Linked DNA regions of Bombyx mori. The protein of the gene in region 2 interacts with the protein of the main gene of each other region in a biochemical or structural test. Links are inferred from orthologs where the notes say so. Each region holds a gene or a part of one and is shown on either strand. Other genes may lie near its edges. The genes, in order: dual specificity mitogen-activated protein kinase kinase 4 and mitogen-activated protein kinase kinase kinase 4.

Region 1 (3,831 bases), on a different chromosome or scaffold from region 2:
TCAATAGTTTGAAAAAGTCTCTCCCTGCTTAACTGGGATTTGCCGAGATTTCTATCGAAACTGAATCTGAGAAGTCACATAATATGGAACTTTCAATAGAAAAAAAAAGTACCATTTTTAATCTCATTGACTGTAAATTGGATACAACTAAAGAAATCTTCATCTCTTCACTACACGAAGAAACCGAAAACGAAAGTGATCAAGCTAACTCAGATCCTACTGTACAGGTTCAAATAGTATCTATCAGCCCTAATATTTTCACAACCAAAACCATTAGCCGAGACTTTCATATCAATAATAACCACTAAAAATAGAAATGTAACATCTGCTCAACTTGACGTGAGATATCCGAATAATTCAACTCTCGATATCAACAAAAACGATTCGTTTCCTGACTTGTCCCTTTTGACATTACATCTTTCTGGCAATTACCTCAACGCCGGCTCTGTCGCGTCTTTAGACGACGTTCTAATTCTACCATTTGAAGAGATTGCATCATCGCCCTCTATGTCTAGTGTTGAAAAATAAACCCTTACTAAGGAACAAACGCCAGAAACGGCTTTGACTTCTTCGATTCATACAGCATCAGCTGTATCGCTACCTCCTCGAGTACCACCAGCTTCAGCAGTTGTTGAAATACTAACACAAAAGAAAACCTCTGATCCATTTGAAAAGCACCTGATGCTGCCTGAAATTTCTAACAAAGCATGAAAAAATTATCAAAGAACTCCAGCCATATCTTCTGCTGCATGGAGAAAGTATTATGAAGAGAATGAAAGTATTATGAAGATAACGAAGAGAAGAGAATAAAGAGAACTAATAGAAAAGCAAGAACAGAAAAAAAAACTTTAAAACACCCTCAAACGGTTCGTAAAACTGCTCTGAAATGAAAAAACGAAATACACCCCCTCTTGAAGAAGTCACAAAGAAAAGGATAGATGTGGAAATTGAGAAAGAAAATTTACCAGGCGTGGAACGAGTGAAATGTCCTGAATGTGACGATATACTAATTTCAAATGTAGAAGAGGACGATGAGAAAAACATTGGCTGTGACAAGTGTATTAGATCATATCATCTGAAATGCACGCGATTAGTAGGATTAAGTTATTTAGAGGCCAAACATGTCTTTTGAATGTGACTTGTGTCATTAATTAAAATTCTAAGGCTATAATAATCATCTTTCATCATCATCAATCATCTTTAATAAATAAAGTATTAAAATCCAATCTCGCTTTAATATCATAAAAATATCATCCTTTAATACCTTTGCTAAGCTGATGGACGCCAAGTGGTCCAGCGGGTGGACGCAAATTGATTTTTATGGAGGCAAAGTGGGTAAAACGCCTAATTCTGAAGTTTGTCTTTCAAAATAAAAATACAAGATGTTTCGCAAAAACTAAGTTACCTTAAAATAGACTATTATAATGAACACATTACATAAACTTTTCATTGAAATTACCTAGTGTTGGGACATTTTTATTTTCTCCTTCAAACTTGCCAACTGCACTAAGTGGACGCAAGCAGGCGAAATGACCCTAAACACTCCACAAGCGCCGGCACATCAACCTGCTTTTGCCTTTACGATAGAGGTGAAATTTAGTAACAATGCCGTAATAAGTTTGATTCTTTTTTTAGTTTTTGACTTTTGTAGGTACCTAATAATAACACGGTTGCATTTTTTGGTTTTGTTTAGGAGTTAAAATGAATTTGTTATTGTCTATCTTGTTCAGATGCGACTTGACTGAATGAATGGCCTAACGGTACTTTTATTGTATAAATTCAGGGTTGCCTTCGAACAGTTGAAACAATTATTATAAATTAGTTTTTGTATGAATCTACTAATTACGATTTAGATTTTTTTACATATTAAACATGATTTACATTGTTGATACTAGAGCCACGTTTCGGCTTGATATACCCATTGTCGGACACCCTATGATTTTATAATTTTTAACATGTATACATGTTTTCTTTCAAAACAGATCATCAAAAAATAGTAAGCAAAATATAATGAAAACTAATTAAAGTCGTACTGAAGTATACTCGTCGGGAGTTCTTTTTGAATTTCAGAGAACAAAGTAAATAACAACAGATAGTCGTAGTGAGCCAACAGCCTAATGATATAATAAAAATACCTGGAATTCGTACCACTAAAGACGCGCAAAGACTGGCTTAAGTGCAGGTGAAGATCAGCACTCAAAATCCGTGCCGCTTATTGTAGACGATCGTACCATAAAGTCAAAACTCCCAAAAAACAGTTTGAGCAGTTTGCTTATTAAAAACAAAATTTTCATGAGATTTCACTCTAAACCATATTGGTCACGCACACTAAACTAGTTCCTGAAAACTGTGATTAATCTACCCAGGCTTGAGCAGGCTGGTCTGTTGTGAAAGGACTCACTCCATTCCGTTCCATTGATTCTAAGATCTCGCAAACATATGCAGCAACATCTGATCGACTTTGGTCTATTCCTTTGATGAATGGGTGTTCCAGTAACCTGTTATACTTAGGTCTCTGTGTTTCTTCTTTTATAAGGCTAAAATAAATATTTCAAATGTATATTCGTTGGAATACAGTCATCGGTGAGCGCTTGTAACTTAAAATTCTATATTACAAACGAAAACAAGGCAAGGCTTTTAAGATGAGTCTTCCTGGCCTAAAGGATAAAACGCCCGTTGCATTCGTATCAGGCGATGGAACGGTGTTAATCTCGCAGGCCGTTACCAACTTTTCTAATGTAATACGTACATAACAGAAATAAAGAAAAAAATATATTATAATGTAATAATAAATAATATAATAAGGAACGTCACGAGAGCCACTAATGAGCTTATCTTGAAAATCTATCGTAAATCTCAAACACCCCAACATCTTGAACCTAGTTGAACGGTGGCAAAGTGCTAAGAAATATTCTTCTGCTGATAAATGTTCTCCAAACAACAGATCATGACCTTGACCAACTTGTTCATAACTTTGGACAGTCTGATTGCAGAAGATTGGTTAAATTGATCAGATATAAGGCAACCATTGTATTGATGTAATGAAGACTTCATTCTTATGCCTCAACATGGGCAGCAGATTCACATTGGAGTTTAAGGATTTACTTCTGTAACCGCACAACATAAGGGGGCTAAGTAATGGTACTAAAAGTTATAATTTTATACCTAACGATCGATTTCATAATCTTTAATGTGGATTTATACTTACCAAGTATTAACGAAGTTAACGAAGCTGTTTGAAAACATGTTGTTATTGGATGAAAGACGTGGCGGGTCCCCTTGAACCACTTGCTGTAGCTGTTCAAATACAGATCCCCATCTTGGGTACGGAAATGCACCAGTAGCCACTTCCATCAAAGTAATACCTAAAGACCAAACATCTGAGCGTACATCATAACCTCTTGCACGGCCTGGATCAATTCTTTCCGGCTGAAACAAAAGTTTTTGTTTACAATTCTATAACAGTTTGACTGGTGAAGGGTGCTGTCTTTTAATTCAACGTCAATCATTGTATAATAGAGTAACTAACAGCGAAAGGACCTCATTATCCATTTTGTACTTATGAGGTGTCCAGAGCACACAAACATAATGAGAGGGCCATTACCTACTTAGCAATATGAATAAGGTCAAAGCTATAACTATATATATGTAACCTATTACACTTTTAAAACTGAAATGAATCTTCTAAGCATGAGGCTAGGCAGAATAGCTATCAGAGTAGATTCACGATTTTCTTTAATGATTTGTTGCCACTTTACAAGCATGCATTTTCTTATCTGCTTTCCTCTCATAGCCTTGGCTTACATGACTTCTTTCTAAATTGCGTAACAA
Region 2 (3,831 bases):
ACACGTTAGCATTAGTGTCGTGTTCGTGTCGCTATCTCTGTCTTGAGTACGGGCGGCTACGAAACTTTTTATTGATTTGTTATTATTATACTGTTTTTGTTTAGTTTTAAATTTGTTTGTGTTTAAGTTTGTTTTAGTATTAAGTGTCCCTTGGCATTTATATTATTCGTCAACAAAGATGCCACCAAAGCATAATAGTGTTTTATATCGCCAGGCGAGAAAAACAATTTTTGATCTAATGCAGCTTTTTTAAAAAAGAAAAAGAAGAAGGCGTAAAATATTTTGACAGTTTTTTAAGAGTTACTAACGCAGCTGGTGTATCGCAACGCACAGTACAGCGGATCGCAACTGAAGGCAATGTTTCGGGATTACTTTCTAATTAATTTAATTACGTTATTTTTACAGCTTTCAGTCTTAATTTATTATTTCTCTTTAATTTATTACATTATTTTTATAGCTTTCTCTCTCATAGTGTTTTGATATTAATTTTATTTGTACTTGGTCTCTGTATATGGAAGTTTTAATTCGTATTTTGATTTAAAAAAAATGAATGACAATAACACTTTTTTTTACGAGTGTAAATGCGCGAAAGTTGACCTGCGGCTATATTCAGACTCGTCAAGTTACGTCGGTCGTATTGTACAGGATCGCGTTAAGGAGTATAATAAAGTTTTTTTTTATTGCTTAGGTGGGTGGACGAGCTCACAGCCCACTGTGTTTACTGTGTGGTTACTGGAGCCCACAGACATCTACAACGTAAATGCGCCACCCACCTTGAGATATAAGTTCTAAGGTCTCAAGTATTAGTCACAACGGCTGCCCCACCCTTCAAACCTAAACGCATTGCTGCTTCACGGCAGAAATATGCGGGGCGGTGGTACACCTACCCGCGCGGACTCACAACAGGTCCACCAGTAATTTTAAAACATTTCCCTATCATCGGGACAACGGTACAAAGGTTCAGGTGTGTGGTGTGCACGCACCCGGTGCAGCTCGCAGCCGTAGTAGCGCACGAGGTGCGGGTGCGCCACGCCCTCCAGCACGCGCAGCTCGTTGGCGGCGCGCTGCAGCCCGCGCCGGTCGCCCGCGCCCACGCTCAGCTCCTTCATGGCCAGCAGCTGCCCGCTCTCCGTGTTCACCACCGTGTACACCTGCGCACCACAACCTCCGTCACTCTGCATCACTCTACGGCACTCTACCGCACTCCACGTGCTGCTGACCACAGTACCTTGCCGAACGAGCCGGCGCCGATCTTCAATCCGCGCTGCCACTTGAACGTGAGCTGCCTCAGCTTGGGCTCGTAGCTGGTGACGGCGGCCTCCAGCACCCTGCCCACGCTCTTGGACTCCCGCAGTCTCTGCTCTCTCGCGAACTCCACTCGAGATATCGCTTCGGTTACTCTTCTGCTGTGTACTATAACAAATCAGTTTTTTAAAGGTAAACAAATATATGATGGCGTCACGGATGGCTGAGCGGGAGTTCCGTCATCATTCGTATTCGGTAGAAGTTAGTTTATTGCGATAAAAGTCAATAAAACTTTTTGAATATTATTATTGAAATTCTAAGCAAATAATTTTCACAATGTTGCTTTTGTTTTTTTTAACTTAAATTTCTCTTCTCTGTTCACTTTTTACATGTTTATATGTGATTTTGATTGTGGTTAAATAAATAAATAAAAGGGTAAACCGACAGTTTCGTTTCAACTGACCGACTGACGGACTGACTGACTGATACTGACTGACAGACTGAGACGACTCTGTCCACGTATTTTATATTCGCCATTAGTATTATATATACGCCATTTTATACTTTGGCGTTACGACGTCTACCCTACATTTTTGTGATATTTATCAAAACAATATTTTATCATTTAATCAATACAATGTCTTAATATTAGAGAAGTCGTTACCCACGACATATATGTTGGTGTCTGAGCGTACTCACGCGTGTTCTCCGCGCCGGGGAAGCACAGCAGCGGCTCGGGCTCGCTGGGCGGGGTGGGCGGCGCGGGCACGTCCTTGTGCAGCGACGCGTTGGACAGTGGACTCTACACCCACATGCATAGACAAGGTTCACTCTTAACCCTGATGCTTGTATTAATTATAAAATATGTCGCAATGCATAATGTTTACGGCAGCATATAACAAACAGAACAAGGGGGACTTTTTGGTGTTTTTAATTTAGTGTTATTAACTTTTTACCATTTATGAAAGTGCACCAGTGTAGCTTTTTTTTCCTTACTTATTCGCTGGTAACCTAAGGGGCTATTTCAGCCACGTGCGGACGACTAGGTGAGCTCATATGCTCAACCTGAGAGAATTTGCTAACACTGGTCCTAGCAAGAGCCGTGCTTCGCAGAGTCTACCACCGGATCGGAATCGCGACCCGCTGAGAAAATCCGGCGAGAAAATCAGCGGGCTGATGTTTAAGTTATAGGAGTGGGCGATATAAATCGTATCTAGATTCAATATCTATATATCGCAGCAATATCGTTGAATCCGATATCGCCCCGCACGAAATCTATATATCGATATCGGCCGATACACGATATTGCTCGATGTGATGCGCATCGGCATATCGTACCGATTCGTGAATCGAAATCTATATAACGATATCAGTCGATACACGATATTACTCGATGTGATGCGCATCGGCATATCGTACCGATTCGTAAATATCAGCAATATTCGTTTGGTTCGTATCGAATCGGCCAGAGTGAGTGAGCGCACGATATCATGTGATGAATGAAACAGAAACAGGCATTATCCATACAATTGTAAACCTTATATTTAAGTCCATATGTCTGTAGATTATTCTTAGCGTATCAGCAGGATACAATTTAATTTCACGCGCTTTGACCTTGAACTGCAATTTTTGGACAAGTGTTTATAAATACTTAAAAGTTTTTTGTGTTTGATTTTTAAAGTACACATTTTTCTATTTTTAGTTGAATCCAAATAATTGAGTTTATTTCTTGTGTTTGTATTAAACTTTTGAAATCTACACTCTTTTGGTATATTTTGTAATTTTAAATTAAGATACAAAATACTAAAAACTGAAAATAATGTAGCCAGTCCTAAGCCTGATAAAAGCATGAAGGAAAGTTTTTTTGATATTTTTATTTTCATGTTCTTTTTATTACTTTAAAATCATATTATAAATTGATATCAGAAAACCAACCGTATAACGTTGACTTAAATCTATATCTACTACGATATTATATCAGCGTATCGTTTCAAATCTCAAATATCATGAATCGAGAAAATCTACTAGCATCCATCAATATATAGATTCAGAAAATATATAGATTCAATATCCGATATTGATCCTCGATATATAGATACGATTCGATACGCGGCAAAACCGATATTACCCACTCCTATTAAGTTAGTTGCACGTCGAACTCTTTGCCGAATTCGACAAGTACGGTTACCGGGATTCATAAGCTTGCGCCTAGCGTTAGAGCTGAAGGCGACTAATGCAAGAGTTATTGGATCTAATGGATCCGTAAGCAAGTGTCTAGGGCGTCGACGGTAACTGGCTCCGTGATCAGGATTCGGAGAGTTCCTTCGTACAAACTCCCCAAATTAGATTCAATGCACAAAATATTAGCAACGTGTAATTTTGGATCTTGAAGTGACAAGATTAATTGTTGGGCGGAGTTAATGGGGGTGCGTACGTGCAGGCGGGCGCGGGGGCGCGGCGAGGCGAGGGGCGCGGGGTCGGGCGTGCGCGCGCTGCGGGACCCGATCACGTGCGAGATGCAGCTGTCCATGCGCTGCTTCAGCTCCTGCGCGACACAAAACGGGGCTGATATAGTGTCCTTGTGGC

The links.
Region 1: the proteins of mitogen-activated protein kinase kinase kinase 4 (region 2) and dual specificity mitogen-activated protein kinase kinase 4 form a complex in vitro, tested with the Homo sapiens proteins (2 studies listed by BioGRID, with this or other methods). The link is inferred for Bombyx mori from reciprocal best matches to the Homo sapiens genes MAP3K4 and MAP2K4.

What each region holds. Positions count from the first base shown.
Region 1 is NC_085123.1:7,701,533-7,705,363, reverse strand, and holds part of dual specificity mitogen-activated protein kinase kinase 4, read right to left. Parts: intron 3,430-3,831; coding exon 3,209-3,429; intron 2,538-3,208; coding exon 2,354-2,537; 3' UTR 1-2,353. UniProt on the Homo sapiens protein: Dual specificity protein kinase which acts as an essential component of the MAP kinase signal transduction pathway. Essential component of the stress-activated protein kinase/c-Jun N-terminal kinase (SAP/JNK) signaling pathway.
Region 2 is NC_085112.1:511,843-515,673, reverse strand, and holds part of mitogen-activated protein kinase kinase kinase 4, read right to left. Parts: intron 3,791-3,831; coding exon 3,680-3,790; intron 2,048-3,679; coding exon 1,945-2,047; intron 1,414-1,944; coding exon 1,229-1,413; intron 1,152-1,228; coding exon 984-1,151; intron 1-983. UniProt on the Homo sapiens protein: Component of a protein kinase signal transduction cascade. Activates the CSBP2, P38 and JNK MAPK pathways, but not the ERK pathway. Specifically phosphorylates and activates MAP2K4 and MAP2K6.